3 separate regions of the Mus musculus genome follow, and all the other regions are reported to be linked to region 2. Evidence: microRNA targets listed by miRTarBase, many of them from high-throughput screens and not tested one by one. Region 2 holds a microRNA gene; each other region holds the end of a gene's coding sequence.

The links. Region 2 holds the annotated microRNA mmu-miR-7013-3p (CCACACUUACUGUUGCCUCUUCCU, at 1,291-1,314, opposite strand). A microRNA usually pairs through its seed, bases 2 to 8, with sites in the 3' UTR of a target mRNA and lowers its output. Matches are read on the target gene's strand: a 7mer-m8 pairs with bases 2 to 8, a 7mer-A1 pairs with bases 2 to 7 and ends in A, and an 8mer does both.
Region 1: the mRNA of Plet1 is a reported target of mmu-miR-7013-3p. Seed matches in the 3' UTR shown: 7mer-m8 at 2,116-2,122.
Region 3: miRTarBase lists Crem as a target of mmu-miR-7013-3p. The part of its 3' UTR that is shown has no 7-base or 8-base seed match.

What each region holds. Positions count from the first base shown.
Region 1 is chr9:50,504,349-50,507,348 of GRCm38, reverse strand. It overlaps Plet1 (placenta expressed transcript 1), which reads right to left. Exons shown (of 4, transcript NM_029639.2): 4 at 1,710-3,000. The coding sequence ends at 2,804. Plet1os (placenta expressed transcript 1, opposite strand) reads left to right here and starts at 2,544. Exons shown (of 3, transcript NR_040714.2): 1 at 2,544-2,728.
Region 2 is chr3:95,002,377-95,005,526 of GRCm38, reverse strand. Mir7013 (microRNA 7013) reads right to left here and starts at 1,359; the gene lies at 1,288-1,359. It overlaps Pi4kb (phosphatidylinositol 4-kinase beta), which reads right to left. Exons shown (of 11, transcript NM_175356.3): 9 at 1,155-1,287; 10 at 773-893. It also overlaps a transcript of Zfp687 not described here.
Region 3 is chr18:3,265,075-3,268,074 of GRCm38, forward strand. Crem (cAMP responsive element modulator) reads right to left here. Exons shown (of 9, transcript NM_001110859.2): 9 at 1,280-2,658. The coding sequence ends at 2,514. Among named protein-coding and RNA genes, the nearest start is that of Crem, 61 kb to the right of the region's middle.

The DNA of each region.
Region 1 (3,000 bases), not on the chromosome of region 2:
AGGTATTGCACTGTAGCCCAGGGTATTCCATGTAGCCTACTCTGGCCTCAAGTTCATGGCAATCCCCTCGTTTTAGCCTTTGGAGTGCTGGGAACCTGGAGATGCATCTCCACCCCTGGCTTGGTGTAAGGCTTGAATGAGATGATCCATGTACAGTCTATACTTGTTCAGGGGCCGGGCAGGGCTACCAGTAAGCACTTGGTGAGAAAAGAGAAACCAAGGAACAAGAGGTTCCAAGTACTGGTCTCTCCACCACACCAGCCATAAAGATGGCAACACCAGCCAAAACTTTAAAAATTCTGCAATCTATTATCAACAACAACAGCAAAGAAGAAGCAAGCAAGCAAGCAAGCAAACAAACAAACAAACACAAAAACCAGCTATCGGGCAAAAATGCTAAATTTGGCATTTAACAGAATCTTTAAGGTCACTGGTTAACTGCTAAGAAATCAGGAAAGAAAACTCTGTGGCCACACAAAGAATGCAGTCTGCAGTTATATTCAGTGGCAGCAGTCAACACCAGCAGTTGTACAACTGAGAGAATCAGGTTTCCAGAGTCAAGATACTGTAATAGTCGGAACACCCAGTTTACAACAGAAATTTACAAAGGGAAAAAACTGAAGCAGACATTGTTCCCAAGGAAGACCAGCCACTGGGCCTAAGAGGCAAAGACTTGATGTCAACATCTTAACTATGTTCAAAGTGGGGACTGAAACAGCGACAAAGACCAGAAGCCAGGAAAATGTTTCTGCACACAGAATAGAGGTGGGCAGAGAGAGATTATAGAAAGACGCCAAATAGAACTTTTGAAGCTGGAAGGTGTAACAGGTAATATATATAATATATATAATAATAATATATAATGTTGAGGTTCACCTGCAGACTTGAGGAGGCAGGACAATTGGAGAGCTTGAAGAGAGGTCAGTTGAAATGATCTAGTTTGAGGAGCAGGAAAAAAAGAAAAAAAGAAAAAAAATGGTCTCTGGGATGCAAACGCACTGACATATTTATAGTTGGAGTTTCAGAAGGAGACAGAGAAGGAAGCTGAAAGAGCAAAGAAATGTGGATTGAAAATGACCAAAGTTTATGAAAGGCAAGACTGTCTCCATTCAGAAAACAACAGACTACCAGAAAAATCAAAGACACACGCCGAGAGGCTGCGTGATCAGGGCTACAGTTGACTCTGTAGTTACTGCTTCTGCCGTGAACGATACTGTCATCATTCCACACTCCAGGAAGCAGGGGTGGCTCCCATTTCAGCCAGCTACGGGGGGACGGGGGGACGGGGGGACGGGACGGGACTCAAATCCTGGTGTACATGTGGAAACCAAGCATCTGCAGCAGGACTGTGTTCCTGCCCAGCCTCTCCCCATCTCCGCGGCCTCTCTCTCCTTTCCTGCCTCCTTCCCTCCTCCCAGGGTCTTGCTATGTATCCCTCGAACTTCCTCGAAGACCAGACTGTGCCCAAACTTCCCATTAGTCCTTTCTCCAGCCTCCAGAGAGCTGGGGCAAAGGGAGGACTGCTGTGCCCAGGTATTAGCTCTGTGCTTAGGGGTTTCAGAAGCTCTCTGACCCCTCAGACTTATCTTTAAAAGTGGACAGAATAACCAGGCGACTCTCAAGATAGCACATTTTGGTGAGGCTTGCCCGTGAGGCACACATTAAAGCAGCTAACAGACTCAGCACAGAGAAGAGACTAATGTTATGCGGGACCTTATGCACACTGTGAGCTGGTCAGACTTTTGTCAGCGTGACACAGGCCAGGGTAATCTGGGAGGAGAGAATGTAAGCAGAGGGACATTTTCTTGATTAATGATTGAGCTGGGTGGTGCTCACCCCTGGGTCCTGGACGGTATAGAAAAGGAATTATTAAAGGAAAACTTTTATTTCTTATTACAGGCTTATTGTTGGAAATAACTTTTTTTTTTTGGTTTCACGTTGTACTATAAATATTACAAGCATTTTCTTTTTTGGCCCATTTCCTGGTATAAATTATCATCAAGGAAGAAATGACCAGCTTTGACTGGACAAAACAAAACTGAGATAAATTAACCTTGCATCTGTCCTTGAAAACACACACACACACACACACACACACACACACACACACACACACACACTTTTATTCCTAGTTCTAAAAACAAAGTTAGGTAACACTTTGTATTTTATCACTCATTAAGGGTTATCTTTCAATTTAGCACATTTCGGTATTCTTGTTCAATATATTGTTTATTTGACTTAGAAAAAAAAAGTCATGTGTCCTGTCATTGGCTTCTGAGGCACAGTTTTCATATACTTCCTTCAAAACCTACCGACTGGTCTGGGCACAGTGGAAATCTGCTAGTAGCCACAGGATGATCACTCATTTCTCTTTTTCCTACAGTCACATAAGTCACATAAGTCCTTTGCAACCTGAGTAGGTTTGGCCAGAAATCTGAAATCAGTTTGAAAGTAAAGAAGGATCATTCCCTCCCCACCCCCACACCCAGGAGGCTCATGGGAATACCTTTGGCAAGAAACACAAGTTCAGATTGGCTGTCAACAGGTTAAACTGAGAGTCAGAACTTCAGGTTACACGCAGGATGGATGGACTAAGTATTTACAAGAAGCGGAATTTGTGCCCTGAAAGATCCAGGCAAGCATTTGTATCCCTCAAGTGCACTAGTGTTGCAGGTCTGTGGTCCAAGGTGGTGGAGCTGCGGACTGAGGACATAAAACCTTCATTCGGGTATGTTTAAGCACTGGCCTGAAATGAGCTCGGGAGGATGACCTGGAGGTTGGAGATCTGCTTCCCCAGTTTTCTTTAGAAGAGGAGTTTACTAATGAGAAAAACAAGCAGGATATGGAGGGCACCTGCCAGGGGGCTGCCGAGAGTGCGGATGGCCAGGCTTTTGGCTGTGGTCTTGGCTGTGGTCACGGCTGTGGTATTGGCTGTGGTATTGGCTGTGGTCACGGCTGTGGTGTTGGCTGTGTCCTTGGCTGTAGTCTTGGCTGTGTTCA
Region 2 (3,150 bases):
CATGATAGGAAAAGGCAAGCCAGCCCACAACTTCCCCCAGTAAGCATTGGAGAGATGTCTTTGGGCCCAGAGGGAAGGCTGGGAAGAGCCTCTGGGAATGGGCCCTGCACTTATCTGGTTGCAGGCCTCTGCCTATGCTAGATCAGACACTCACAGATGACCTGGGCCACCGTCACCACGGGGCCAGACAGAGATGCTCCCGAGCAACGACGGCAACCTGTGGGGTAGGGGCAAGGATGGGGAGGAGGAGACTGGCAGCTTAGGTAGGGTAAATATCTGGGGTGGGGGGGATAGAAGGGTCCCAGAGGAACTGGAAGAGGAGGGAGTCCTGTGCAAAAAAACTGAGGGACCAAGGAAGAGGCAAAGTGAAAGAAAAGAGAGGCAGGAAAAATGAGAGCAGCAGAGGTTAGTAGGAAGTGGTAGTGGCCGAGGTCAGGTCAGTCAGGCCAAGTGTGATGGGAGAGAAGTGAGTAGAAGTAGCAGAGAAGGAAGAAGACTGAGAAATACAATTGAATGGGAGAATGGGAAAGCCAGGAGGCTGAAAGTGGCTGTTTCCCCATGAGGATACCTAAGAGCTTTCTGCTGTTCCTTTTCTCCTGCCCCACCCCCAAAACCAGTTCTGCCAGGGTGAAGAATGTTTTAAAGGGGAAATGGAGACCCCCTGAGAAATGTTCCCCCACCTAAGTCTTGAGGTGGAGTTCAACTTCCTAAAAGTTCTAAGTGCAGGCAACCCAACCTGAGTCCCCCAGGCCAGGGCCCTCCTGAGCCACACCTTGCTGCATGATCTCCACAATCTGTACCACCTTGTCCATGTGCTTCCGAGCAGCAATCAGCCCTTGCAGCATGAGCATCTTGTAGTAGTTGAACATATCACCGTTCAGGCCACCCATTACCTGGAAGCAAGGAGAGTGTCTGTGTGCACAGAGAAATTCTGGTGGGTCCTTTCTGTAGGCCTCAGAGCTTCCTCTCTTAAGGTAATCATGGTAAATTTCCTTATCACTATCTCCACATTTTCTTTCATAAGCTCCCAGGCAATCCTGCCTCGTCTTGACTTATTGCCATTTCTGTTCTGTTCCTAATTTGGGGGAGTCCATCAGCTCCTCTCAGAGGAAGAACACAGTTACCCTTGGAAGCACCTCTCTTTTTTGACTCACATCCACAAATTCTGTGGTCAGCTTAAAGGCTGATGTCTCGAAGCCCAGGTTTCGGGGTGAGCTGGAAAGGATGAAGCCAAAGTCGATGTGGATGATGTGACCTTCTGCGTCCAGAAGGATGTTCCCGTTGTGCCTGAGGAAGAGGCAACAGTAAGTGTGGCTTAGGCTGGATCTCAAGCTACAACACTGGCCTCTTCATACCGAACAGGGGAGGCCCCAGCCATGTTTCCTGTTGCTTACAAGTCTGGGTCAATTTCCTAGGATCTAAAACTAGTAACAAAAGGAAGTTAGGAAACTATGAAGAATGACTGGGGTATGAAATTCAGTTATTACCAGCTTAATAAAAATAGTTTTAAGATTATCAAAAGGCTGAGGACGGTAGAGTGGTTGCCTATAACGCTCTTTTCTAGCTTTGTTCCCTAACACAACATAAACTGAGTGTGAATAACGTCACATGCCTATAACTCTAGCACCTGGGAAGCAGAGGCTAGAAGATCCTAAACTAAGGGTCAGTCTCAAATACAGAGGCCAGACTGACGCATGCTATTTTCTCCCGAATTGTACTTCTAGTACTCAGACTTGACTCTGACTTTAAGTAGTAAGCACACAGATAAGAAGAAAAGGTCTCTGAGGCTCCAGCAGCTAGCTGTCTGAATGAGGGAAGGCCCTCATTCAGACTCAGTTTAAGATAGATAGGGTCTCACTATGCAGCCTCAAATGGTCTGATACTCATATATAGTACCAAATTGACCTCAAACTCAGTCACCTGCCTCTACCTCCTGTGTGCTGGGATTATTTTAATTCTTAATCAGTCCATGGCAGAACCAAAGTCCCATCAGTAGAGAGCAACAAATAGTTTATGTGGGTCAACACAGGTGTATTTGTATGTGAAGGCCAGAGGTCAATGTAAGGCATTGTTCCTGGTAGCTTTTTTTTTTTTTTTTTTTTTTTTTTTTTTTAAACTTGGGATCCCTAGGGCAGCTTGCACAGGAAATCCTTTGGTTTCTGCTTCCCCATCTGGTATTAAAGTGTGCCATCACACCAGGATTTTTTGTTTTGTTTTCTGAAACAGGGTTTCTCTGTATAGCCCTGGCTGTCTTGGAACTCATTCTGTAGAGCAGGCTGGCCTCAAACTCAGAAATCCGCCTGCCTCTGCCTCCCAAGTGCCAGGATTAAAGGCATGCACCACCATGCCTGGCCACACCAGGATTTTTATGCGGGTTCTGGGGATTGAACTCAGGTACTCATGATTTTATGTATGGTAATAACTTTATGGACTCAAGTTATTTATTTAGCCTCTCCACTCCCCTAAAGATATGCTGTACCCTAGCCCAAGTCTGCCTCTGTCTCCCAAGTGCTAAAATCATATGAATGAGCCATCAGGTTGCTGATAAAAACTTTAAAACTGTGAGGGCAAATGACTTACATAAAAAAGCCTTAGGAATGGTATACTACAGGCCAGCTGTAGGGAAAACGAGTTAGTGGACGATACCTCAGGTCTTTGTGATTCCCACATTAATGTCAGTAGGAAGAACAATTAGCATGCTAAGCATGTGAGGCCTGGCCTATTCTGCATGACCAGTCTTTTTGCTATCAATAGAAGCTTTGTTAGGCCAAGCATTCATGCCCCAGCTGAAGGCTACCTCTAAGTTGGTCAGACTGGCTGAAAGAGGAGAGGTAGAAAGAGAGAGCTCAAGACCCACCTGAGTTGTGGGGAAGCACTAACAATGTAGCAGCGCCCACACAATCCTAGATGTCTAGACGCAGAGAGAACAGGTGACTCCACCCCCACCCCAAAGTTTCAAAGCCGGTGAGAGGCAGTTTCTGTCCTGTTAACTACCTGGCCAGGCCTAGCTTCTACCTCGTAAGCTGCCTTGGGACTCCTTTTGACATGAGGGTTTTGTTTTGGTTTGGTTTTTCGAGACAGGGTTTCTCTGTATAGCCCTGGCTGTCTTGGAACTCACTTTGTAGACCAGGCTGGCCTCGGAACTCAGAA
Region 3 (3,000 bases), not on the chromosome of region 2:
TCTGAAAGAGCATCAAGTGCTTTTAACTCCTGAGACATCTCTCTAGTTCCTATGCTGGTGAGTTTTATAGATTTTTTTTAAGATTTATTTATTTATTATATGTAAATACACTGTGGCTGTCTTCAGACACACCAGAAGAGGGCGTCAGATCTTGTTACGGGTGGTTGTGAGCCACCATATGGTTGCTGGGATTTGACCTCATGACCTTCAGAAGAGCAGTCAGTGCTTTTACCCGTTGAGCCATCTCACCAGCCCTGCTGGTGAGTTTTAATTGTCAACTTGACACAGTCTAGATTCACCTGTGGAGAGAGTCACAATGAAATATTGTCCAGATGTGGTTGGCTTATGGGCTTATGTCTGTGGAAAGTTACCTTGATTCTGTTAATAGATACACACCATTCACTGGGTTTGAGTCTTGGATTGTGTAAGAAAATGAGCTGGTAACCAGGTATGCATAGTCATTTTCTCCCTGTCTCTCGGACTCTCTGTCCCTCTGTCTGTCTCTCTGTCTCTCTGTCTCTGTCTCTGTCTCTGTCTCTGTCTCTCTCTCTCTCTGTGTGTGTGTGTGTGTGTGTGTGTGTGTGTGTGTGTGTGTGTGTGTGTGACCAGCTATTTCAAATTCCTGTTGCCTTGACTTCCATGCTTTGATGGATTATCCAACCTGGAATTGTGAACTAAACTAAGCTCTTTCTATCCTAAGTTGTTTCTGTCAAGAGCATTTTATTGTGGCAACAGAAACAAAACCAGGACCTACATTTTAGAAGTTATAGGTAAGGAAAAGTTAAAGATAAAGAAATGGTAACTGGGTGCCAAACCACCTCCTACCCACTACCAGATCCACTATCAACCCTGTTGACAGTGAAGGAAGGTGGGCAGGTTCTTAACAAATCAGAGATCAGCCATAGGCAATGCAGCGACTATAGCCCACTGTCTAATCCGTACCTGCTGGTGAGAGAAAGATGACATAGCACAGGGTTAGGGATCCGAGCTTATACCTTGAGTCTTTTCCTTATAAAAACAACTATGGACGCTACTAGTAACAAAGCTATCACAATTGTAATGAATTTCATTTGAATGTTCTGGCATAAGGATATTTTATCATGGACCTGGAGAGATGGCTCCGTCATTTAGAACATGTGCTGCTCTTGCAGAATATCTGAGTTCAGTTCCCAACACCCATGTTGGAAGGCTCACAACTATCTATAACTCTAGCTCCAGGGGAGCTTTTGGCCTTCTTGGGAACCCACATTCACATACACATAGACATACACACAGGCAATTAAAAAGAAAGTAATATTTTATAAAAGAATACTTGATCAAACTGGATATTCTGGCCCACATCCGTAATCCAAGCACTCAGAAGGCTGAGGCAAGAGAACTGTGAGTTTAAGGCCAGCCTAAACCTACGTGACAAATGTACACAGCTATATTCCAAAGAGCAAAACAAAATTGATCCAAGTTGTAAAATCAAAAATGACATCTTGGGTTGTTTTTTAAACGTTAACATTCCTGAGGTTGCAAGAATTCACAATGGAGGGTCATCAGCAGAAACTCTCCAGACGATCAGCAAGAAGCCTAGTACAGCACAAAGGCTAACCTCTAACCTCTTCCCCTGGACCCCATTCCATTTGCAGAGCTTGAGGTCTTCCCTTTCAACTGAACATGTAGCATGCCAGGCAAGTGCTCCACACTGAACTCTGCTCCTAGAGCCCTGCAGTTGTCCTCTAATGAAATGGCCCAGTATTTGCAAGGCTGCTGATCCAGTGTAGCAATAAATTCATACTTGTGGAACTCATTCCAGATAATGAAAATATGTTGTCTCTTTCATTAAATAACAGCAAAGCAGCACAAACTTTTGTAGAAATTCACATACTACATACATAGTAGGAAGCTGTAGTAAATGCTCAGATACTTAAATAAATACCAAATAGTACAAAGAGCAACCAACATGGTTCTATTTAAAACTGTCTTCAACTGTGGCACCCAAGGACAGCAATACAATACTTTCTTTACAAAGTGACGATTATAAAAATCTATAAATGCATAAATTCATTTGTAGGCTATTCTCACGTAGTCATGTCATCAGGATACACTTCCTTTCATTCTTTCCTGAGGTATCTCTATGGGTTGATTTTATCTTACTACTGGAGAGATGCACTGCCTTTGATCACCCTTTCCTAAAATGATTCTTAAAACCTGCAAAATTTTTATTGCATAGGACACTATTCATGACAGAGAGACTGGGAACTGTAAATATGTTGCACTGGAACAAGTCTTACAAATACTTCATTTTAAGAATTTGTTACATACATTTTTTACAGTTTGTCTCTTCTAAAAAATTGACCTTAGAGGTAAGAGCAAATTAAATACAACAAAGCATCTTAGGAATGTTAGTTTTAGAAAGTTAGATGAATGATACAAAGGAAAAAGCCATAATTCTTGCCGGCTATATATTGTATTGCATTCAAAAGCAACTGTACATGCTGTAATCAGTTCATAGTTAAATATTTCTACTAATCTGTTTTGGGAGAGCAAATGTCTTTCAAAGTTTCAAGCTCCTCTATAAGCTTCTTGTTCTGAACTTCCAGCACTGCGACTCGACTCTCAAGACACTTCACATACTCTTTCTTTCGACGTCGACATTCTTTAGCAGCTTCCCTGAAAAAAGTAGAAGCAGAAGGGCAAACAAAACATATGTTGCATGCTATTGGCAATAGAGCAAGCTTGGTAATGTGAGGGGAGCTGCATTCCAACCCATGGAACAGTATTCCCAATTCACACTCTACAGCAGACTGTATTCTTAAGCAAGGGTTAAGAGACCCATCTACAAGTCCACATGGCCATTATGAGGATGCTGCATCGCCTGCCCCGATTAGAGTTCACAGTCAACAAGGTCCAAATCAAACACAGTTACTCTGCTTTATGGCAATAAAGGTCTTTGAGGGCCTTGAGTTCCTCAATGAGGGTCTTGTTTTGATTTTCAAGCACAGCCACACGATT